2 linked regions of the Zea mays genome follow. The protein of the gene in region 1 interacts with the protein of each later gene in a biochemical or structural test. Links are inferred from orthologs where the notes say so. Each region holds a gene or a part of one and is shown in the gene's direction. Other genes may lie near its edges. The genes, in order: regulatory protein viviparous-1 and uncharacterized protein.

Evidence for each region.
Region 2: the proteins of regulatory protein viviparous-1 (region 1) and uncharacterized protein form a complex in vitro, tested with the Arabidopsis thaliana proteins (2 studies listed by BioGRID, with this or other methods). The link is inferred for Zea mays from reciprocal best matches to the Arabidopsis thaliana genes ABI3 and AIP2.

What each region holds. Positions count from the first base shown.
Region 1 is NC_050098.1:164,986,370-164,999,730, forward strand, and holds regulatory protein viviparous-1, read left to right. Parts: upstream 1-6,604; 5' UTR 6,605-6,750; coding exon 6,751-8,265; intron 8,266-8,491; coding exon 8,492-8,584; intron 8,585-9,226; coding exon of another isoform or gene 9,227-9,229; coding exon 9,230-9,327; intron 9,328-10,427; coding exon 10,428-10,474; intron 10,475-10,583; coding exon 10,584-10,660; intron 10,661-10,939; coding exon 10,940-11,182; 3' UTR 11,183-11,577; downstream 11,578-13,361. UniProt on the Arabidopsis thaliana protein: Participates in abscisic acid-regulated gene expression during seed development. Regulates the transcription of SGR1 and SGR2 that are involved in leaf and embryo degreening.
Region 2 is NC_050097.1:188,438,811-188,451,064, reverse strand, and holds the end of uncharacterized protein, read left to right. Parts: exon of another isoform or gene 1-3,762; intron 3,763-3,787; exon of another isoform or gene 3,788-4,038; coding exon 4,039-4,119; intron 4,120-4,198; exon of another isoform or gene 4,199-4,854; intron 4,855-5,699; coding exon 5,700-5,913; intron 5,914-6,012; coding exon 6,013-6,254; intron 6,255-6,690; coding exon 6,691-6,900; intron 6,901-7,004; coding exon 7,005-7,154; 3' UTR 7,155-7,266; downstream 7,267-12,254. Other genes in the region: AT-rich interactive domain-containing protein 4, read left to right, coding at 11,249-11,413, 11,504-11,695, 12,212-12,254. UniProt on the Arabidopsis thaliana protein: E3 ubiquitin-protein ligase that acts as a negative regulator of abscisic acid (ABA) signaling. Mediates ubiquitination and subsequent proteasomal degradation of the transcription factor ABI3.

The sequences.
Region 1 (13,361 bases):
TTCAACAAATCCACTGGATTAGTTGAGGTTTATTGTGACATTGTGTTTGATGAGACTAATGGCTCCCAAGTGGAGCAAGTTGATCTTGATGAGCTAGATGATGAAGAGGCTCTGTGCGTCGCACTAAGGAACATGTCCATTAGGGATGTGTATCCTAAGGAATCCGAAGAGCCCACTCAAGCTCAAGATCAACCATCATCTTCCATGCAAGCATCTCCACTAACCCAAGATGAGGATCAAGCTCAAAATGATGAAAATGAAGGTCAAGAGGATGAGCCACCTCAAGAGGAGGACAATTATCAAGGGGGAGATGACAATGATCAAGACAAAGAAGATGATCAAGAAGTTCAGGGTCAAAGACCGCCACACCCAAGAGTCCACCAAGCGATCCAAAGAGATCACCCCGTGAACTCCATCCTCGACGATATTCATAAGGGGGTAACAACTTGATTTCGAGTCGCTCATTTTTGTGAACATTACTTTTTTGTTTCCTCTATTAAGCCATACAGGGTAGAGGATGCACTAAGAGATTCGGATTGGGTGTTGGCAATGCAAGAGGAGCTCAACAACTTCACAAGGAATGAGGTATGGCATCTTGTTCCACGTCCTAATCAAAATGGTGTAGGTACCAAGTGGATATTCTGCAACAAGCAAGATGAGCATGGTGTGGTGACAAGGAACAAAGCCCGACTTGTGGCCAAGAGATATTCACAAGTCTAAGGTTTGGATTTCGGTGAAACCTATGCACCCGTAGCTAGGCTTGAGTCAATTCGCATATTACTTGCCTATGCTACTTACCGTGGCTTCAAGCTTTATCAAATGGACGTGAAGAGTGCCTTTCTCAATGGACCAATCAAGGAAGAGGTCTATGTTGAGCAACCTCCCGGCTTTGAAGATAGTGAGTACCCTAATCATGTTTACAAACTCTCTAAGGCGCTTTATGGGCTCAAGCAAGCCCCAAGAGCATGGTATGAATGCCTAAGAAATTTTCTTATCACTAATGGCTTCAAAGTCGGTAAAGCCGATCCTACACTCTTTACTAAAACCATCGCAAATGATTTGTTTGTATGCCAAATTTACGTTGATGATATCATTTTTGGGTCTACTAACAAATCTACTCGTGAAGAGTTTAGTAGGATAATGATTCAAAAATTCGAGATGTCAATGATGGGTGAGTTGAAGTACTTCTTAGGATTTCAAGTGAAGCAACACCAAGAGGACACCTTCATCAGCAAAACAAAGTACATTCAAGACATACTTACCAAGTTTGGAATGAAGGATGCCAAGCCCATCAAGACACCCATGGGAACCAATGGGCATCTCGACCTCGACATGGGAGGTAAATCCGTAGAGCAAAAGGTATACCGGTCAATGATAGGATCTCTACTCTATTTATGTGCATCTCGACCGGATATTATGCTTTCAGTATGCATGTGTGCAAGGTTCCAAGCTGATCCTAAGGAAGTTCACCTTAGGGCCGTGAAAAGAATCGTGATATATTTAGTTTACACTCCTAAGTTTGGTCTTTGGTACCCCAAGGGATCCACTTTTGATTTAATAGGATATTCAGATGCTGATTGGGCAGGGTGTAAAATTGATAGGAAGAGCACATCAGGGACTTGTCAGTTTCTAGGGAGATCCCTGGTGTCTTGGGCTTCAAAGAAACAAAATTTAGTAGCTCTTTCTACCGCCGAAGCCGAGTATATTGCCGCTAGGGCTGGGCAAAAAACTCGTAACCCGAAACCCAAACCCGGAATACCCGAACCTGAACCTGAAATACCGAACCCCGAATTTTGTTTGGGAATTTCGGGTAGCAACTTGCAAAACCCAAATTTATTTCGGGTAATTCGGGTATCACAATCGGGTACCCGAAATACCCGAACTTTCATGTGTCATGTACTCATGTCATGCTTAATTATTAATTTGTGCATCTATATGTGTAAGTGTGCATAACTTGTGATTGTAGATTGCTTGTGTTTTATATGTCCATGTATATCATTATTCAAACTATATTTTTATACTAATTTAATAAGGTGTATGTGTTTTTATGAAGCCGACATAATAGTTCGGGTAGTTCGGGAATACCCGAACTCGAAATTCCGGATACCCGAATTTTCGGGTATTGCAAAACTCGTTGTAATTTCGGGTATCGATTCTCAAAACCCGAAATTTTAAAAACCCGAAATACCCGACCCAAAATTTTCGGGTAACCTGAACGCATACCCCTAATTACCGCAGGCCATTATTGTGCGCAATTGCTTTGGATGAGGCAAACCCTCAGAGACTATGGCTACAAATTGAGCAAAGTCCCTCTCCTATGTGACAATGAGAGTGCAATCCGTATGGCGGATAATCCCGTTGAACACATCCGCGGTAAGCACATAGCCATTCAGTATCACTTTTTGAGGGATCACCAACAAATGGGGGAAATCGAGATTGCTTATGTTAGCACCAAAGAAAAACTAGCCGATATCTTTACCAAACCATTAGATGAGAAAACCTTTACCAAACTTAGGAATGAGCTAAACATTCTTGATTCTTGGAACTTTGATTGATACTTTGCACACATAGCTCATTTATATACCTTTGATCATATCTCTTTTATGTCTATGACTAATGTGTTTTTAAGTTTATTCATATGCTAAGTCATAGATTGAAAGGGAAATGGAGTCTTCGGCGAAGACAAGGCTTCCACTCCACTCTATCGGTATTATTTACCCTTCGCCGTCACTCCGCACCATTCTCCGCTATGGTATAATCTTCACTCATATTTATTTGTACCATTGGGAGAGAAAGTTAAAGGGCTCTTAAAAGACTCCGTTTTTGGCGATTAATGCCAAAGGGGGAGAAATATTAAGCCCAAAGCAAAAGGACCGCACCACCACCACATTTCAAAATTTCTTAAAGTATTTAAAGAGGATTTTTCAATTGGTATCTAAATCTTTTTCATACTGGTAAAACCCTCTTGAACACTAAGAGGAGAATTTCATCCAGGGGGAGCTTTGTTTAAGTCAAAGGAAAAGCATTTGAAACAGGGGGAGAAATTTCAAATCTTGAAAATGCCTTTTGAAATCTTATTCATGTACCTTTGACTATTTACAAAAAGAGTTTGAAAAGATTTTCCAAAAGAATTTGCAAAAACAAAACAAGTGGTGCAAATGTGGTCCAAAGTGTTAAAAGAAAGACAGCAATCCATGCATATCTAGTGAAAGTATAAATTGGTTTAATTCCAAGCAACCTTTGCACTTGCCTTATGCAAACTAGTTCAATTCTGCACTTATACATTTGCTTTGGTTTGTGTTGGCATCAATCACCAAAAAGGGGGAGATTGAAAGGGAAATAGGGTCAAACCTTTTCCTAAATGATTTTGGTGGTTGAAATGCCCAACACAAACAATTGGACTAACTAGTTTGCTCTAGATTATATATTCTACAGGTGCTAAAGGTTCAACACAAACCAATAAAAAGATCAAGTTAGGGTTCAAAAGAAAGGAGCAAAAGAAACCGAAGAGAACCCTGGTCTGGCGCACCGGACTGTCCGGTGCCCAGGGCCGTACTCCTTCAAACATGCCACCTTCGGGTTTCTGGAGAGCCGCTCCACTATAATTCACCGGACTGTCCGGTGTGGCACCAGACTGTCCGGTGCACCAGCGGAGCAACGACTATCCAGCGCAACGGTCGTCTGCAAAAGCGTGAACAATGCGCGTCAGAGTCAGAGCGCAGAGTCATTACGCACCGGCCACTGGACAATAGCTGTCCGGTGCGGCACCAGACGGTCCAGTGCGATATGAAGTCAGCGCTCCAACGGTCGAAACCGTCAGAACCCTAACGGTTGGGTGACGTAGTTGGCGCACCGGACTATCCGGTGCGCCCATTGACAGACAACCTCCCCAATGGTTGGTTTGGTGGTTGGGGCTATAAATACCCCAACCACCACCACTCAAGGCATCCAAGTTTTTTCAGACATCTCATTCAATACAAGAGCTAGTGCAATCAATACAAGACACAATTCAAAAGAATCAAAGCCTCTCTAAGTCCCAAATACACTCCAAACACCTAGTGACTAGAGAGAGAGTTTTGCTAGTGTTCTTTGAGCTCTTGTGCTTGGATCGATTTCTTCTTCCCCATTCTTGTTCTTCAAAGCACTTGTAATCAAAGTAAGAGACACCAATTATGTGGTGGTCCTTGCGGGTTCTAAGTGACCCGGTTGATTAAGGAGAAAGCTCACTCGGTCTAAGTGACTGTTTGAGAGAGGGAAAGGGTTGAAAGAGACCCGGTCTTTGTGACCACCTCAACGGGGACTAGGTTCTTTGGAACCGAACCTCGGTAAAACAAATCACCGTGTCATCCGCTTTATTTTTTGGTTGATTTGTTTTCGCCCTCTCTTCCGGACTTCAATTTTATTCTAACTCTAACCTCGGCTTGAAGTGTGCTTAAAGTTTGTAAATTTCAGTTTCCGCCTATCCACCCCCTCTAGGCGACTTTCATCCTCCCACCCGCTCGCTTTCCTCTCCATCGAGCTCCTTGCATCTCCACAATTGTGGAGTAGGAGCTCCCCGACCGTGTCCAAGACGAAATTAAGACGTGGAGGCTCTGCTCTCTCGGCTGCAGACACAACGCGGATGGTGCGACAACTTCATCTAAGGAGTGTCTGTCGTGTAGGCTCTGGTCCCCTCCCACGCCCGTAAGATGGCATCATAATTTTTAGCTTATAAGTTCATAAATCACATAATAATATCATCACATGTCAAGAGTTTCTTTATATTTTGGGTTATTCGGTCTATTGGGACCAAAAACTGAACCCTAACCCGTACATATGTACTCCTGAATTATAGCAAATGTAGGAATCAAACCCAAACCCAAACCCAAAACCCAATATAGGCTGACAATTTAGTTTATTTGGGTTCTGCTCAGGTTTGGGTTCAGTCTTCAGTTTAAAAATGCCACCCCTAATCTTGAACAATGTAAATATGCAAAGTAGTGATGAACTCAACCCTCGGGTTTAGGTTGAGTCTAGCAGTAGCCGATATCCTCTCATGTACGCTAAATATAGGGGAGGTTATCTCTCCTATCTACTCTAACAATGTCCTTTAAATTTAGAGGACGTTCGTCCTCTATATATATTATCTGCCCTCCCATCTACCCCATTTTAATATTTTAAACAAAGATTAATAACTTAAGATATGTAAAGGCTAGTTCGACAACCTTTTTTCAAGTGATTTCTATTTTCCAAGGAAATTAGTTCATTTTTTCTAGGGAAAATGGAAATCTCTTGGAAAAATGAAGTTACCGAACTAGCCCTAAGGATATAAAAATATGTACGTGCAAAAATCTAGAGCAAAATATATCTCTAATATAAGTATTTATGTATAGATGGTGAGATATAGAGGACACTGATGAATAGAAATTAGATATGGATGAGAGAATCTTTTAAATATTACTGTAAAGTAAGGATATATTGGATGTTGCGTCTTAGGGTGTAAAAATAAAAAATAGAGTTTAAACTATAACGTTTAGAACACAAAATTTAAACTAGTAAGCTTACTGCTTTGTTGTGATATTTAGAATGTGCCGTGGCCCACCTGAACCAACGCCTCCAAAAAAAGTCCAATTGTGGGTTTCTCACGTTTGCATAGAGAAATTAATTGCGCCACCTTCCAAAAGACAACCACATGAAACCTATCAAATTAATCTTCCACCATAAATATATTGTCATCAAAATATCTTTTTGGCATAGCTAGCAGACCCGAAAATTCGGTTGACACCATATTTAAGAACGCCAGTCATCTTTTTTTGTAAATGCACAGGTGGGAAAATGCTAAAAGAACATAAGTACATAGAGCCAAAGATGAAGTAAGAGGAGGACCGCAGATTAATAATAAAAAGCCCGAGGAGTTTGCAAAGGAACTCCTACTACTAGTACAATCCACCCATCTAAGTATACTACACGCAAAGTTCCCAAATAGAAGGGTTCCACTTCCACGTCGTCGTGCCCGCCTTCAAGTCCCCGAATCACCCACACCGTGTAGGTTCCGCGCGTGCGCGTAGAGAAACTCCTCTGCTTCGTAGACAAGCCAGTGGCACCATCCTGGAGCTTCCGTCCGTGGGATCACGCAGAGACTGCATCGGACGGTCAGGAATCGTCCCAACACTCGGGATTCAGTCGGCGCGCCGGCGACACGGACATCCTACGGCGCCGAAGCAGCTACGCGCACGCTGTTTTCTCCACGCACGGGCTCGCGGGGCCCACGCCTCATTGACTGACCAAAAACATGGGCGCTCTCTCGTTTCCGTTTCTGGAGCAGTCAAATTAGAACGCGGCGAAGAGGCGAGACCTGAAAACACACAGACACTGACATGTTGGACAGCATCGCTCGGCCCATGCCATAGACGGGTCATGCACAGAGAAACCTAATCAGTAATAGTTTGTGATACCTCTATGACAAAGTGGGTCCATTATCTTCAGCCCCACGTCTCCGAGAGAGGTATAGGGTGCGCGCCAGGGGTGAGAAGTATGGTGGCCGAGGAGAGGCTGGCGTGGGCGGTGGAGCGCTCCCCTCGGTCGCCACGTGTGTCACGCAGCCGCATCTCGGTTCCCTCCTCTCTCTCTCTCTTCTTCTCCCTCTCCACCTCCTGCTTGCACTGTTCGTCTCCTCAGTAACTGCACCCACCTCCACACCTACACCCGAGAGGCGGCGGCGGCAGACACAGACACCGTCTCTCTCCTCCCTTTGTCGTCGTGTCTCTCTGCATGGAAGCCTCCGCCGGCTCGTCGCCACCGCACTCCCAAGAGAACCCGCCGGAGCACGGTGGCGACATGGGAGGGGCCCCCGCGGAGGAGATCGGAGGGGAGGCGGCGGATGATTTCATGTTCGCTGAAGACACGTTCCCCTCCCTCCCGGACTTCCCTTGCCTTTCGTCGCCGTCCAGCTCCACCTTCTCGTCCAACTCCTCGTCAAACTCCTCCAGCGCCTACACCAACACGGCAGGAAGAGCCGGCGGCGAGCCCTCCGAGCCTGCTTCGGCCGGAGAAGGGTTTGATGCGCTCGATGACATCGACCAGCTCCTCGACTTCGCGTCGCTTTCCATGCCGTGGGACTCCGAGCCGTTCCCGGGGGTTAGCATGATGCTAGAGAACGCCATGTCGGCGCCGCCGCAGCCGGTGGGCGACGGCATGAGTGAAGAGAAAGCCGTGCCGGAAGGGACCACAGGGGGAGAGGAGGCCTGCATGGATGCGTCGGAGGGGGAGGAGCTGCCGCGGTTCTTCATGGAGTGGCTCACGAGCAACCGCGAAAACATCTCGGCCGAGGATCTCCGCGGGATCCGCCTCCGCCGCTCCACCATCGAGGCCGCCGCCGCCCGGCTCGGCGGCGGGCGCCAGGGCACCATGCAGCTGCTCAAGCTCATCCTCACCTGGGTGCAGAACCACCACCTCCAGAGGAAGCGCCCGCGCGACGTGATGGAGGAGGAGGCGGGCCTGCACGTCCAGCTCCCCAGCCCGGTCGCCAACCCACCAGGATACGAGTTCCCCGCCGGCGGACAGGACATGGCCGCGGGCGGCGGCACATCTTGGATGCCCCACCAGCAGGCATTCACGCCGCCTGCTGCGTACGGCGGCGACGCGGTGTACCCGAGCGCGGCAGGCCAACAGTACTCTTTCCACCAGGGCCCCAGCACGAGCAGCGTGGTCGTGAACAGCCAACCGTTCTCCCCGCCGCCTGTGGGCGACATGCACGGCGCGAACATGGCCTGGCCGCAGCAGTACGTGCCGTTCCCACCGCCTGGGGCTTCCACGGGCTCTTACCCTATGCCGCAGCCGTTCTCCCCCGGATTCGGCGGGCAGTACGCCGGCGCCGGCGCTGGCCACCTCTCAGTGGCCCCCCAGCGCATGGCAGGCGTGGAGGCCTCGGCGACCAAGGAGGCCCGCAAGAAGCGCATGGCGAGACAGCGGCGCCTGTCCTGCCTGCAGCAGCAGCGCAGCCAGCAGCTGAGCCTGGGCCAGATCCAGGCCTCCGTCCACCTGCAGGAGCCGTCCCCTCGGTCCACGCACTCCGGCCCGGTCACGCCGTCAGCAGGCGGCTGGGGATTCTGGTCGCCGAGCAGCCAGCAGCAGGTCCAGAACCCGCTCTCCAAGTCCAATTCATCAAGGGCGCCGCCTCCCTCGCTGGAAGCGGCGGCGGTGGCGCCACAGACAAAGCCCGCGCCTGCTGGTGCTCGGCAGGACGACATTCACCACCGCCTCGCAGCGGCTTCAGATAAGCGGCAGGTGCATGCATGCGTAGCTTGGCATCGCTAGCCAGCACGAGATCTATACCAATCTGTGTTCTTGCGTTTGCTCCGAATAGAGAGAGACGCACATCGCTGTCGAGCAATAGAATCGACGTGCGCGTGTGCCGTACGCTCGCTCGCGTACGGGTTCGATGCGTGTGCTCCTCGGGTGTTCACTCACGCGTATATGGTTCTGATGGACGAACATGTGTGTGGGATTGCAGGGCGCCAAGGCGGACAAGAACCTGCGGTTCCTGCTGCAGAAGGTGCTGAAGCAGAGCGACGTCGGGAGCCTCGGCCGCATCGTGCTCCCCAAAGTGAGACAGACGCCGGCCGGCCCTTCATGATCTGCATCATATCTATACCCCCCACTTGCGCATATAGATCTATCTACTTAGGGGGTGTTTGGTTAGAGGGACTAAAGATTAGTCTCTAGTTTTTAGTCCCTTTTAGTCCCTTTTTTGCCAAACACTAGGACTAAAATATGGACTAAAATGATTGCCAGTAGAATTAAAAGCTCATAATTATCATGTTGCCCTTACCTTTTTATAGATAACTAATATCATGAGTATATTCTAAGGGTATTTGAGTCTTTGGACAATGTATTTAATGACTTTAGAATCTATTTAGTCCCTAGAACCAAACATATAGGGACTAAAGTTTAGTCCTAGGACTAAAGTTTAGTCCTAGAACTAATTGAAACCAAACATGCCCTTAGCTTGCATTGCGCGTGCATGCATGCCTGTTGCATCAGTTTGGTCACTTTCTGTTCTTGAACTAACTAAAATCGGCCATGGATAGGTCATATATATAGATCTACGCATATATACCAAAGCTCGCAAACTGCCCCTGAATCTGTTCTTCAAAACCGCCTTGCCTTTTTTAAACTGAACTGGGCCGTGGTTGGTTTGGCATCTCAACTAAAAATCGTCGCCTTGTCTTGTTTTTGGACGATTCAGAAGGAAGCGGAGGTTCACCTGCCGGAGCTGAAGACGAGGGATGGCATCTCCATCCCCATGGAGGACATCGGAACGTCGCGCGTGTGGAACATGCGGTACAGGTGAGTGTGTGTGTCATCATTGGTCTAGGGACAGACGTCGAGCATCCATAAATTAAATCCAGTTGCTGGCTGCTGTTTTCCTCGAATCTGTTTCTTCTCCTTCTCCTTTTCCTTTGTTTGTTTGATTGATTGATTGAGAGCTGCTGCCTGCAGTTCGTGCATGGTCGTCTACTGGGGGCAGGGAGAGATATATAGGTAGTATACCACTAACCACTGGGCCAGAGATAGTAAATGGCATGAGTACGACATCTGTGGCATGGTCCCTTTCTTTCCCAATTTGGCAAGTGGGTCATATGAATATAGTGTACGATGAGAATCCGAGGAGCAAATAGTGGCATGCACTCGTCTACACGGAATTCTGCACGCAATAAACATGCATCTTCTCCAACTTGCTGATAAGCCTGATATATAACATACCACTACCACCAGGTCAGGTGATATTTGTTCTGAAAATGGCATCTTCTGTTCGGTCCAAAATATGATTGCCAGGACACCACAGTAAACATGGTCTCTCAGTCCAGGACACCACAGTAAACATGGTCTCTCAGTCCTCCGGATCTCTCGTTAGTACAGCGAAGCTCTATAGTGATGTTCCTAGAGCTATTTTCACTGGCGTTTTTCAGTGACGCCAGTGCTAGGGGCCAGTAGAATTCGAATAAACAACTGACCCCTAGCACTGACGACACTAAAAAACGCCAGTGCAAATAGCTTTAAACCGCCACTATAGAGCTTCTTTGTACTAGTGTTTGGCAGCTAGGTGCACATCTTTGTGCAGCAGCCATAGTCGCGTTTTTTCTTCTTCGTCGTCGTCTTGTGGCTCTTTCTTCTGGTTTGGCTTTCTCATACTAATGAAGTTTATTAATCTTTAGTAATTCGAGTTGCGAAAATAATAATAACAACTTGTTCCAGTAGTGCAGGTTCTATGAAAATGAGGTAACTGTTTTTTTGGATTCTCATATGATCTGGTGATGTTTTTTTTCCAAAACTGGATTACCTTGCTGAAAACTAAAATTATTATTCATATATACGGTATAGTATCGACTGTTACCAGTGCAATGTCAGTGCTTTCATCAGCTGAGCTCCTTATTGCATGCACGCAGGTTTTGGCCCAACAACAAGAGCAGAATGTATCTGCTGGAGAACACAGGTGAGAGGATCTTAACGTTATGATTTCCATCCATCCGACCTTGACAACGATTCTTCGTCGTTATGGTCTGTCTGATCTTTTTTTCCTGTTTTTCTTTCTCAACCTGCAGGGGAATTTGTTCGTTCCAACGAGCTTCAGGAGGGGGATTTCATAGTGATCTACTCCGATGTCAAGTCGGGCAAATATGTATGTTCTTCTATTGCCGACTATTTCCTTGCTACATAATGCTCGTTTTTCTGGTCCATATGCCTGCATCATTAGTCAACTCAAACGTGTTGTCGTCCTTGAAACTGCAATCCAAATCTACGCAACCGTTTTGCATGCCACTGTTTGTATGTGGATGCCTGGATGGCAATCAAGGACATAGTGGCATCTTTTGATCTCGCTGTTCATGGAATTGGTTTACTTCAGCAGCAACTCATCAAGAACCCTGAAACCCCCCTTGTGTCCTATATATATCCACAGCTGATACGGGGCGTGAAGGTAAGGCCCCCGCCGGCGCAAGAGCAAGGCAGTGGTTCCAGCGGGGGAGGCAAGCACAGGCCCCTCTGTCCAGCAGGTCCAGGGAGAGCCGCAGCCGCCGGTGCTCCTGAAGACGCCGTCGTCGACGGGGTCAGCGGCGCCTGCAAGGGGAGGTCTCCGGAAGGCGTGCGGCGGGTTCGGCAGCAGGGAGCCGGCGCCATGAGCCAGATGGCGGTGAGCATCTGAAAGAGCAGCAGACTCCGCCATATATTGATCGATCGACCAATCGATCGTTAGTTCTCCAAGTTACTATTAGCTAGCTATAGCTCGAAACAGCTGAACTGATGATGACGATGGTAACCTCCGTCGTGTGTGCTAAGCATGTAGCGTGCTAGGAGATGATATATTAAATATAATCGAGTAGTAGAGCCACCCGCTGTGTGACGCTAAATTTGTGTGCATGGTTTGGTTTGTGAGTTGGGCCCGTGCGTGGCTGTGTCATGTCGTGGTTAATTAGCTATACTAGTCCTGTCTGTACATGCATGGACATACCTGATCTCTCGGCCATTGGTGTCGGCGACGTGCCATTCGGCTAACAAGACGACAGCTGCAGCCTGCAGCAAAAGCTAGAACATTCTACACATGCCTTCGTGTATGTTATGCTTTGTAGTTTCCTGGATGCATGCATTGCATATAGTGGTGTCCTGCTTGGTTTATGCCCAAAATTTGTCATACCAAAGATTTAGGAAGACAAAATCCGATAAAAAATAATCGTTATACATTTGTCAAGCCACAGGCAAATATGAGAGGTTGAGAGATTTTGGTAGCAAACCAAATAATAATAGTCACGAACCAAGATTTGTCAAACGGAATGATAGTATGAACCAAAATTTGTCATGCATGCCAAGCCAAAGCCAGATTAAAAAAAATCTGTTATGGATTTGGCAAGCCAAATGTGAGAGGTTGACAAGTTCTGTAACAAACCAAATGATAGCTAAAACCATAGCTTGTCAAATGCTTGGCTTGACTTAGCAATCATATTTTGAAAGCCAATTAACTAACCGCGCACCCAACTTTGTTGCAAGCATGGGTTGCTTTTTTTTTTCCGAACAAAGCGTGCATGGTGGTTGCTTTTTTATTATTATATATAAACAATGCTGATGGAACGAAGCACAGTGGTGATAAGCGATGAACAGAAACGACCACCATGCGTGTGTATATATGCAGAAAAAAAAGGTGGGTGGTTCTTTCCTAAAATTATTTATGTGTATAAACAGGAAGGAAAGGAAGGCCACACATGCTGCATCTGCATCACGCACGGCACCTAACCTGCTGGTTGATTCCTGATGCGCCCCTAGATTCCTCATCTGGACAGGACAATGGACGACGACGGGGCATGCATGGCCGGGACTTCGTTCGCTGCGGCGAGCCGGCGACCGGGCTCGACGGATGGAGTGGATCCACACCCGTGGCCAGCAGCCCCGCGCGCCAGGCTGTCCGTTCGTCGCCATGTGCGGCGCTGGCGTTGGAAACATGACGTGATGGCGCGCTCGGTTCCGCCGGGGAACGATATGTTAAACTAGTATACATCCCCTGTGCCGATTGGTCGACGGAGCTCTCTCCGGCCGCCATGTGCCGCCCGCCGCCGCGGTCGATCGACAAGCTTCCTTAGATTTATTTGGTCAAGCCCTGCCGTCTTATTGCTTGCAGATCGGACAAGATAACACATCACTCAAAGAAAATAGTCATTGTGTTGTTGCTGTTTTTCTCTGAAAAATATTGTCTGTACTCCTTTTTTTTGAACTTCGAAGCAAAGCTCTTGCAGCCCTTTAAAAAACAAGGAAGTATGATACAGTGAAATGCAGACACTCTAGCAATACACGCGCATTCACTTTTCTACCATGGACATGTGCACGCTCGTTATATATACTCCCAACTATATGAACAACAGTATGTGCCTTAATTCGAAGACTGTTCAGTACACAGTACTGCACCCGTTACAATTTAGATATCATTTTAGCATTTTAAATATATAACTTTCACTACATATCTAAATATATACTATGTCTAGATATATTTTAAAAGTTATGTATTTGAAAACCAAAATAACTTATACTATAAAAGAGAGGGAGTGTATGTTGAGTAATTAGACAAATTCCAGTTTAAATTCCGAATATAAATCATGACCAAATCAGAAGAACTGAAATAACAAGCCAAAACAGATGATGCGTACTGATTAGACTTACTGATAGATGGCACGCGCCGGAATCAGCAGGGTCGACGATGTCGAAGTAGCGAAATCAGCAGATCACGAGCAGTCGCGTGAAGACGCTTCCCAAAAACCTTATTCGCCCAAAAACCTTATTCGCCCTCTCCCGGTGCAGGATCTAGAAGACGAAGGGTTCCGGAGACCTGACGAAGGGAA
Region 2 (12,254 bases), on another chromosome or scaffold:
AAGGCGAAGAGGTTGGCCAAGGTGTATCAGGAGATTGCAGAGAAGAATAGAGTTAGAAACCAAAAGGGACAAGTTCTTAAAACTCAGGTTGCAGGAGTAAGGGGGGAGAATAGGGCAGGAATATTGTACCCTGAGTTGAGCAAGGAAAGACAGTTGAGAGAATATAGAAGAGCGAATGGGTTGTGTTTTATTTGTGGAGATAAATTTGAGCCAGGCCATCAAGCAAAATGTCCCAAGAGGGTGGTAACTCAACTGCATAATCTGACCGTGGAAGATATGGGCCTGGTTTTGACTGATGAGGTATTGCAGAAGTTGGAAGATGAGGAGAAGTGTGTGGAGGAGTTACATCAGTTGTCCTGGAATGCTATTAGTGGCACGGAATGTGATGGATGTATGAGGGTCCAAGCTCTGGTTCAGGATCAGATGTTGGTCATGCTCATTGATTCTGGTAGCTCTGCAACTTTTATCAGCCAGAGAATTGTAGCAAAATTGGGGTTGATCACTGAAGATTGTTCCACTGTGCGGGTTAAGGTGGCAAATGGAGCAGCTATGATCAGTGACAAAAGAGTTAAGGAAGTAGTGTGGAGTTCTGGGGGGCACCTGTACAACACTGCTATGAGGGTGTTAGATTTGGAAGCATATGATGTGATCCTGGGGTATGATTGGCTGAAGGCTCACAGTCCTATGGAGTGTGACTGGAATAACAAGGTATTAACCTTTACTGATCAAGGGAAGACGGTCAGGTTACAGGGTGGTGCTAGAGAAGTGCAGGAAGTGCGACAAGTATCTGTGTTGCAGCTGGAGAAATGGATGAAGGGAGAGGAAGTCTGGGTATTTGTGCTTTTAGAGCAGGTTTCAGAAGACACAATTGGGACAAATGATGCAGTTCTACAGGAGATTTTAAAGGAATTCGAAGATGTTTTTGCTGTGCCTTCGAAATTGCCTCCAATCAGACCTTATGATCATCACATTCCTCTGTTGCCAGGGTCTATTCCAGTAAACTCAAGGCCTTATCGATATTCTCCAGCTCACAAAACTGAGATTGAAAAGCAAATTGCTGAACTGCTAGCAGCAGGGTTGATAGTCCCTAGTGTCAGTCCGTTTGCTTCTCCAGTTTTACTTGTGCAAAAAAAAGATGGCAGCTGGAGGTTCTGTATAGATTACAGGAAGTTAAATGGAATGACTATAAAGAACAGGTTTCCTATGCCTATGGTGGATGAGATCCTGGATGAATTAGCTGGTGCACAGTATTTTACCAGTCTTGACATGACAGCAGGATATCATCAAATTCGAATGGGAACTGAGGATGAATACAAGACTGCTTTTAAAACCCATCATGGCCATTATCAGTTTCGAGTAATGCCTTTTGGTCTCACTAATGCACCAGCTAGTTTCCAGTGTGCCATGAACTCAGTGTTGGAGCCTTTTCTCAGAAAATTTGTTATGGTTTTCTTGGATGATATTCTCATTTACAGCCCTAGTTTGGAAGTGCATTATCAACATATTCGGATGGTGTTGGCCAAGCTGAGAGAGCACCAGTTTTTCTTAAAGATGAAGAAATGCTCCTTTGTGAAGCATGAACTCAAATATTTGGGTCATGTGATTTCAAGAGATGGGGTGGCTACAGATTCTAGTAAAACTGAGGCTATGTTGTCCTGGCCACAACCTAAGAATGTGACGGAATTGAGGGGATTCTTAGGTTTAACAGGCTATTACAGGAAATTTGTGAAAGATTATGGTATTATTGCTCGACCTCTTACTAAGCTGTTGCAGAAACAACAGGTGTTTCAGTGGTCTGAAGATGCTCAGGTTGCTTTTCATAAGTTGAAACAGGCTATGGCTTCAACACCGGTTCTTGCTCTGCCCAGGTTTGATCTGCCTTTTACAGTCGAGACAGATGCGTCAGATGTGGGTCTTGGAGCGGTGTTGATGCAACAGGGCAGACCCATTGCCTTTCTTAGTAAAGCTCTGGGAGAAAAGAACAAACATCTTTCTATATATGAGAAGGAGTTTTTGGCTTTGATTATGGCTGTAGATAAGTGGAGGCAATATTTGCAGAGGGGTGCATTTGTGATTAAGACAGATCACAAATCTTTGACATTCTTGGGAGACCAGCAATTGCAGTCAGATCTTCAAAAGAAGGCTATGACCAAGTTAATGGGATTGCAATTTCAGATTGTATATAAAAAGGGGGCAGAGAATGTCGTTGCTGATGCATTGTCCAGGAGGAGTTCAGTATTGGACTTGGCTGCCATTTCTGAAGTGCAACCAGTTTGGGTACAGGAGGTGCTGAATTCTTATGCTACTGATGCTGAAGCTCAACAGTTGATAGCTCAATTGTTGGTGCGCAGTCCTGATGAGAATGGGTTTTCATTGTATCAAGGCATTATTCGTAAGGCAGGCAGGATTTGGATTGGTGCTAATTCTGCTCTGAGAACCAAGTTGGTGGCAGCTTTGCATGATAGTGCCCTTGGTGGTCATTCTGGTACTCAGGCAACTTATCAACGGGTAAAGAAAGTGTTTTATTGGAGGGGATTAAAGGCAGATGTGGTCCAGTTTGTGCAACAGTGTGCAATTTGTCAAAAGGCCAAGAGTGAAAGAACTCATCCAGCTGGGTTATTACAACCTTTGCCGGTACCACAGGGTGTGTGGGAAGATGTGACTATGGATTTCATTGAAGGTTTGCCTAAGTCGGAAGGGTTTGATACAATATTAGTGGTGGTGGACAGATTCTCGAAATATAGCCATTTCTTTCCTTTGAAACATCCTTTTACTGCAAAGGGTGTTGCACAAGTCTTTCTGGACAATGTGGTTAAGCTACATGGCGTACCCAAATCGCTGGTATCTGACAGGGATAAAGTGTTCACTAGCAGTTTTTGGAAGAACCTGTTTCAGTTGATGGAGGTCAAGCTGTTGATGTCTACAGCCTATCACCCACAGACTGATGGCCAAAGTGAACGTGTGAACCAATGCTTGGAGATGTATCTCCGGTGTGCTGTCAACTCTCAGCCCACCAAATGGAAGAGTTGGTTGGCTCTCGCGGAGTATTGGTACAATACCACTTATCATGTTGTTTTGGGTTGTACACCATTCAGGGTGTTATATGGTTATGATGCTCCTATGCTAGCCCTCCCTAGGCTCATCAATATTGAGGACCCGGATGTCACTACGTGGGTCAAGGAAAGGAGTGCTTTTTCTGCCATGTTGAAGGAACAGTTGGCTAGAGCACAGTTGCGTATGAAGCAATATGCTGATAAGGGCAGAACACCAAGAGAGTTTCAAGTAGGAGAATTGGTGCTGTTAAAACTTCAACCATATGCACAGAAGACAGTGGTGAATCGGCCTTGTCCTAAATTGTCTTTTAAGTTTTTTGGGCCTTACAAGATTATAGCTCGAGTTGGGGCAGTGGCATATAAGCTGGAATTGCCACCCGATGCTCAGGTGCATCCAGTGTTTCATGTGTCTCAGCTTAAGCCGTTTCACCCGTGTTATTCTCCAGTTTACACTGAACTTCCTCTCTTGGTTGATCTGTCCCAAGGGGATGTTGAGCCTGACCAAATTCTGAATCGAAGGATGGTACGTAAAGGAAACAATGCTATTGTCCAGGTGCTGGTCAAATGGACAGGTCTTCCAGCCGATGCGGCTACCTGGGAAGACTATGAAGTGGTGAAGGCAAGGTTTCCTACAGCGCACGCTTGGGGACAAGCGTCTTTTGACGCTGGGGGAGATGTGATGACCCAAGGTGGCGGTGTTTAGGCACAGGTATGGAGTATTAGTGGGTCTTTTGAGTATTAGGGTTTGGGCCATAATAGGGCCGTATTATTCTTCTTTGGGCTGTAATAAGTGATTAGCCAAGTCATTAGTCGTTCTGTTAGTTGGATTTCAGATCTATAAATACTGTAACTGGTTGATTGAGAGGGGATAGAAAAACAGAAATCGAAATCCAACTCACCGGTGTCCTTGGCTTCGTTCTTTTCACCGGTCTGCTACCGACTCACGCCCGGCGAACTCTAGCCGCGGCCACGGGTCATCACACAGCACTTCGAGGAGGCCGTAAACGAGCTCGCCGCCGCCGTCCGGGACCGCTACGCCGGCGCCTCTCCAGCCCTCCGCAAAGCGGTAACGCAAACCCCACCTCTCCAGCATCCACGGGAACAAAACAAAAAAAAAATTCTCGTTGCCTTCTGGATGATGGAATTCCGAATTCGGGTGGCCGGCACGGCTCACGGCTGGCTTTCCATAAACCAAATTTCGATGTCTATGGAACCGTAGGCCGTAGCACACTAGCTCTGCGTGCGTGGACATGGGTTTGCTTCGATTGCAACTGCTAAATTTATATAAATGGACTAAAAATTAGTCCCTAGAAAAACTAAACACCCTTAGGACTTGTTTCGGTTGGGGTGAATTGAGGGGATCGGAGGCTCTTTCTATATAAATTTGAATAGGAAGGGATTTAATCCACTTATGTCCCCCTCAAACCGAACAGGCCCTTAGTCATGGGGTTTCCGTGGCAATTAACCAGAGGCATTCTCACCCATTCGTCAATAGATGATGAAATCAAGGCTGGTTTAACTCGCTGTGTTACTATGGCTTTGGTCAAAAGTCAAAACTTAGATCTTATAGTAAAGTGCCTGCTGAATAATGACATATCTTTGTGCCAGAGTCCTACTAGACCGACAAATCTCAGCAATAGCAGTAATTGGTCTTTGTGTCAGGGTCCTAGACCGACAAATCTCAGCAATAGCAGTAATTGGTGGTTTGAGATACATCACAAGAGAATCAGAATGTGGAGACATGAAATGACAAGGAATCAGAGGCAGGTAGCAAGAACTAGTACATGAGCAGAGTTCAGAGGTAGGATAAGACAGAGCCTATACTTGGTCCTGTTCCATCCCCTTTGCTGGCATATGCTCTGAACCTTTATAGTTTATAGCAAGCATAACACTAACCCATTTTGCAGCCTGGTCCGTGTCAGGCCCATTTGGCAGCCCAATCCATGACACTTTCCTTTAACCCTATTATATAATGTAAGGAATGCTGTAACCAAGGTCATGTACAAGTAGCATCACAACCCCAGTATCAGTAGCCAACTTTTCTGCAGAACGTGTCATGGTAACTTCTCTTGATGTGCTTAACTAGGGGGTACATTGAAAGATATGTACTGTATATGCTACTGCATGACACACACATATACAAATTGATATATTTGCCATGGAGCTACAAAAGGCATAGCACCTTTTTGTGTGGGCATTTTGATCCATATTAATGTTGTAAAAAGCTCCCTTTGGCGATTCTTTTTTAACTGCAAAAGGTTTTGTCAATCAATTTGCATTCTATAGTACAACTATATGCCTATATTGTTATTATTACATAATATCCTATTTATTTGGACTGCTATGACCTTGAATGTCCTTTATGTTCACTCTTGACTGTTACAAGTGTCATCTACCAAAGACGCTAGTAGTGGTTGGTCAACGAGTAGTGGCACCAGCCAGCTAGGTAATGACAGTGTTCACCAACCATGGTTACTGTATGTCCCTATAGGTGAGGCCGGGTTTTTTGGGGGGGGGTTTGGACCGGTTTCACTGAGTGCAAACTGCAAAGCCATGGGGCAGTCCCCCCTCCCCCTCCCGCTTTTTTTTTTATGAAACTCATCTATTATCTTTGTGTTTATTTTGAGCAATTGTTATTTTCCGCAGATGTATTCAACGGTTTGCCGCGTTGCAACAGTGCTTCAAACCAGATATACAGCTCCAGGATTCTGGCATGTTGGTCTGAACCTCTTCGTTGGAATAGAGAAGCTGGTAAGTAATCCTGCTGAAAAGGAGCACCTGAAGACCTGCATTTCGAGGGCCCGTGAGCATCTTGATGAAAAGGAAAATGAGGATTCTGTGCCAAGCAACAGAGAAGCAGGTACATAACATATTTTTGTTATGCACTTAATGATGCAATATCTCTTAAAATTTGTTATTACCAATATCTATTTGTTAATAAGATGTTGCTTTTTCGCAGACACCAGATTTCTTTTTGAAGGGCACCTTACTGTGGGACAGGAACCTCCACCTCCAGCATGGCTTGTTGCCCAGAATTTAACGAGGGAATTGAGCATACTAACTGAATCCTCTGGTGATCAAGATGGGAGCAACAACAGAACAGTGCCTAGAGCCGAGGAGATTACACCTGCTATAATGAACCTCCTAGAAACCATATCAGGCGACAGGGATCTAGAAACTGCTTTGGAAGAATCACTGCAGGTGTGCATGAATACTTAATAATCATTTCATGAGAATCTACTTCTTTAGTACATTGCTAGGTCTTTTGTCAGGTCTTTTAACCAACTAAAGAAGGGCGCACAATTATATGCTTATGATCTTTAGTTTATCCAATCTCATGACAAACTAGCCTTGTAAACCTAATTTGCCTGCACTCAAGTGATAGTACTGATTTGCTCAAAGCAGAGGTAGTCTCATCATGTTTTTGATGGATGAGGAAATTATTCTCTTTAAGTTTATTATTATTATCTTAATTGGACCTTGCATGTAGTGGGAAAGGATCTAAGCTGTACAATTTGTAGTCAAGCAGCTTCTCTATGTGACAACTTTCTAACTCTGCCATGTATGTTTGCTTCACATAGCTGGAACTATAATAGGATGTGAAAATACTGATATCGAGTTTACATTTTAATGCCAGGGAATCATTGAGTATCCACAGAGGGCACCCCCGGCTTCAAAGGAAGTTGTCGCCAATCTTCCTGTCATTGCTGTTACCGAGGAAGTCATGTCTAGATTGGGTAGTGAGACGGAGTGTGCTGTCTGCCGCGAAAACTTGGTTGTGGATGACAAGATGCAGGAGCTTCCCTGCAAGCATCTCTTCCATCCTCTTTGTCTGAAGCCATGGCTGGTAAACTTCTTGTGAACCCTGCAGATAAATAGGCTTGAAGTAGAGGAGCAGCATTGTTGCAATCGGTATATCTAACCAATCGTGATTTTTTTTGTTTCATTTAGGACGAGAACAACTCCTGCCCTATCTGCCGGCATGAGCTGAGGACGGATGACCATGTGTATGAGAGCAGGAAGGAGCGTGAAAGGGAAGAGGAAGAAGATAGAAGGGGTGCGGCAAATGCTGTTAGGGGTGGAGAATTCATTTATATCTGAACTCAACAGTTCCAGAATGTAATCCCTTTGATGAACTTCGTGATTACCATGTTGACATATATATATACCTAGTTACTTATGCTTGAGTTAAATATCTTGCGATCTTATTACCTCTGATTTGTGCTATGCCCTATCTGTGTTCGTTTATCTTATCATCTAGTTTGTTTGTAGGCCTAGACGCATAGCAGGTCATCAATAAAAGTCGATAGGCAATCATAGTATGTTGACACACAGAGACGAAGCGGATAAGCTTGACGGTTTTTGGAATGAGAGTAGCAGATCTTGCATAGTGTCATAGTGTGGCACAACCGTTGTTCGAGGAGGATTATGACAGTGACTGGGGTGTGATGGGCGTTGGCTGATGCGTGTAATTTTCAACCCCTGTGACTAGTCCTCTTATATATATCTATCTTGTAAGTCCTATGAGAAGATAAATGATTTATTACATTTATTGTATTTTATACACTCTCCTCGTAAAATAGAGATTCTAGCTTGGCGTGTGTGACTTTTTCTCGTGAAGGTTTTTACGTAAAATTTTAAGCCTTGTGTTTGGTTTATATTTGCATTATAAACTAACAAGTGGTGTCAGAACCAAACATAAGATTAAAAATTCTATTGTTTCAATCTATCTGCAAGTTTCGTGGCGTTGTCATATATGTTTAAATCTACTGTTCAGCATCTTCGAGATGGAGTCAATTTTTATGCCATTGTTGATTGGTGGTATGCCGATTCATTTGCAAAAGTTACTACCGAGAGGTATAGTTGGTTTTAGTCACCGGTGTATGATCCATCTACAAATGGAGAAGGAAAATTTTCTATCGTCGTTGTCTCAAATCCATGCTACCATGTTTCCTGTCAATCACGTGAATCGAGAAAGTAATCAAGTTTCTCTTGTCTTGCTGCCGTTGATCGTTAGTGAAAACAAATCAACCTATTTGCTGCGCACACTTAAGGAAATTACCAAAATATTTCAAATTCATTGCTAAACATACACAAGCTGTATACCGGATTGTAGATATTTTTTTGCTAGGGTTACACCTCAATTTATGTAGTTGAGGGCTATTCTTATGCACGCTAAAGTCAATGGTGCTCTTGTTAAATTTAATAAAAATAATTTAAAATCTTGGACCAATGAGATGAGAAAAGATTGTAAAGCCTTGACTCAAATCCGACCTCGTCTTCCAAATAATATTTTTGCAAATTGTTTGCAAGATAAAATTGTAGTTGTCTTATGGCTCAAGTTGAAGTATATTTGTATGCCTAAGGATTTGACAAGCAAGATACATATGAAGCTAAAGTTATACATGCATAAGTTGTAAGAGGGTAGTTCTGTACTTGATCATCATTTGATCTTTAATAAGATTGTTTCAGAACTATAGGATATACGGGTACATTATAATCAGAAGCGGGCCCAGACATTTGAGATTGGGTATTCAAAAATTCAAAAGATTAAAGAATTTAGTGTTCTAACGCTATTTTATGTAATACATTATTGACAAATTAGTGTTCTAACACTATAGATCACAAAAACATGGGTATTCAATGAATACCCATGAAACACCCCTGGGGCCGCCCATGATTATAATGATAAGGATTTGTGTCTCTAAAACGGTTTTGGCTCCTTGCCACCTTGGGAGGAGCACTTTTTATCTAGTGCAGGGGCACCAAGATCACCGCCCATCAACTTTGCTGCATTGCTAACTTAAGGTCCCATTGTTAGAGCAACTCCAGTAGTTCTCTAATAGACTTCCTAACTCAACAATTTAAGTAGTTAACACAAAACTCATCTCCAACAGTTCTCTAAACGAACTTTCTAAATTTAACAACTTCTCATCTAACCTTATTTCCTCTCTACATTTGGCAACCATTTAGCAACTCCCTAAACAAAAATGTTTATTGCATTATGTAGATAATGAAGGTAATTGAGCAAATCCTTATATAACCATTTAGCAACTTCACTATCGGAGAACTCACATTTTTTTACTCCCAAAGTTATTTAGCAACTTCTTAAATCTATGATTTATAGAGCTAAAATTATATAACTATTGGAGTTGCTCTTAGCGCTCTTTCTGCTTCGCTCCTCGCAAGAATTAGCTCAAAGCGGTTAAACGGCTCAGCTCCGTGGTGCTTGGGAACCGCACCATAACTCCTCCAAGGGGTGAAAACGGACGGAGTAAAATCCCATTCTAACCCGTACTGTTTTCTATATTTGATCTGACTGTTTTCGTATTTACGGGAAAAACCGGAAACGATACAGAAACGAGAGAGGGTCTATCCTGCCCGTTTTTATTCGGGTTAAACTCGTATTTTGAGAATCCGAGACCATCCCAATATACATTAGTGCATTAGCTGAAGCCTCATATCCTTAGGTGACAAATTATAACATAAGTGGTCATTTTAGCCACCGGCTCTCTTTAACGACATGTGTCCTAAAAGCTCAAAAAACCGATTGTAGCTATACGTACACCACTAGCAAGCAAATATCAATGGAGTGTTGCCCCTCTATATCTATTTATTTTATATTGTTGCCATATCAGTCAGTTACCAGTTAGCTATCAAAATATCATATGTTTGTATTAGAATACAAGTTTTCACTTAAATTTCAGTTTCCATTTAACTCGTTTATCCCTCTTCCGTTTTTGTTCCTAACTAATTTGTACCCGGTAAATGATAAAATGCAGAAACGAAAACGAGGTATGGATTTTTTTCGTCCGTTTTCAACACTATCTCTACATTGACGCCTCTAATTATAATAGCAAAAAGATCGAGTGGCCGAAGCGGAAGTGGGTGATAGCGAGAAGGGAAGAAGCTCTACCGAAGGGCTCCTCATGCTGTGCGGTCGCTCCACCGTTGCTTGCTATTAGGAACACGCATAAACGGATCAAACGGGCCATTTGCTCCCACGATCCCACGAACACAGGCACCCCCACCCAAATGGCCAAAGCCGCCGCGATCGCGAGCTGCAATACACGCGCACACCCACCCTGCATGCTCGACCGCTCGAGCGGCGAGCGCCAAGCAGCCCAAGCTGGATCACAACCCTACGCGGCCACGCCACACCACAGGCCACACCGTATCGATCTGCACAGCAAAAGCAGTAGCAGCATGCCAGCATCCGATATTCCGATCCCAGCAAAAACAATTCTCACAGAAAGAGATTATTTTGCCCCCTCACCAATCCTGCTCCCAAAACTCCTAATCTTTTAATCCGCGTTTGTTTTCCTCCGGCCGTCCCTGGCTTGCAGCAGTAATGAAGCGGAGGAGGAAAAAGGAGAAAACGAAAAGGCGCAGGGAAAACAACGCACCAGCAACAGCAGAGAGCAGGCGCACATCAACTCATCTAATCTCCTCATCAAGCTGGGCGATGCGTGTGAGCAGGCAGGCGGTTAGGGCGAAAATCTGAGAAGTCCGGGAGAATCTCCGGACTGACCTCCCCGTACCCGTCAAAAATCCAATCTTGACGCCTCCCTGGTCGAGCCGAGACTGTTCCAAAGTTTCTGTCTCTGTGATGCGTGATTGTTTGCCGCTGCTAATGAGGCCCGCTCGCCTGATCCCCGTGGTCGTCGTCGCCCGTTAATCCGCTTCAGCTCTGGTTCCGGTTCTTGGACAGATTTTTTCGCCCCTCTTGGTTGTGGATTGCGCTGTTTTTGTTTGTCTGGATCTGCATAAGGGCGTGGGCCGATTCGCCACCACCACAAGCAGAGACGGCTCCTCTTTTTTATTGCCTCCACAGTGGGATTTGCTTTCGCGTTGTTGCAGTATCTATCTATTTCTGCGAATCATCTTCTAGGGCTCCGTTTGTTCTCGCGCACTTTACCCTTCGCTGCCCCCATCTCCCAGCACCGAATCCGCCCCCTTCCCGGCCGTCGATTGAGGGCGTGCCGCTGCCGATTGCGCCGCAAAATCGCGTCTTGGTAAGGCCGCACGCTCAGATTCGTGAGTTTCGCTGCGGATTTGGTTGGGATTTGGGGGATTCCTGATGCGTTTTCTGTGTCCCAGGGTTTGGTCCATGAAGAAGTGGGGTTGATTTCTGATTTCAAGGGGAGGTTTTTCTCCTGCGCGGCCGCCGCCAGGGAGGCTCCGGCCTGCCAGCCATGTCTCAAATCCAAAGCTTCTCGCGGAACAACTGTGTGCTCCTTGTGGTGCTGTGTGGGAAGTATGCTGAGAAGCGAGCACCAGCAGCGAAGTCTGGGCTGGAGGCGAAGCGGCCACGGCCGTCTTACCCATTCCCGGAGCTCAGCTCAGCTGGGCGATTGGAGGTCAACTGTTTGCTCCTTGCTTGAGTGCGCACGCTCGTTGCAGTTTGCCTCCTTTGTTTATCAGCTGAATGAAGGGGCTTCTGAATGCAGGTCCACACACTGTTTAATCCTACACCAGAGCAGTTCCTCGAGGCGCAGCGGGTGGTGCAGCCCAACTTCTTGTACATCCAGGGTCAGCAGCTTGAGGATGAGAAGGAGATTGGCTCACTTGTGTGGGGGGACGCCGATGTCTCTGATCCGCAGGCGTTTAGCACTCTTATCAGCCCACCATTCCCAACGATAGTAAGCTCTACTCTAGTGTGTGTAAATGTTATTACTTGTTAGGCAATATGCTAGCTTGCCAGTGCATTTTAGCTGCCAATTAAACTGCAAATACCAGGATGTGATATCAACAACCTATGAAGTTTTGGTAAATTCTGTTGTATGAACTTGAAGTCACTATGCCATGTGTTTGTTCCATCGTTGCATCATACAACAAAGGATTGTCTCGTCTTATGCTACACATGTTGCAACTACTTGAATAGGTTAAGTACTAGAGCTGAATCCAATACAAAAAGGTAGGTACTCGACTGTCTCGTGTATCATATCCTACACATAAAAAGTTCCGTTTAGATGATGTAAATATATACGGAAAGCAATGTTCCTAAAAAAGGGTTTGTTTCATTTACTTCACAGGAACACATATGGAACATTTATTTTGTGTAACTTCTGTGATATTCCAACATCTTGGTTGTACTGCCACATGGGTCTTACTTTTTAACATTTTTACAGTTGCTGATAACCATACTCTGAATACAGGTATATCTGGAAGTTCCTATTGGTGAAAAACTTGCCCAAGCAG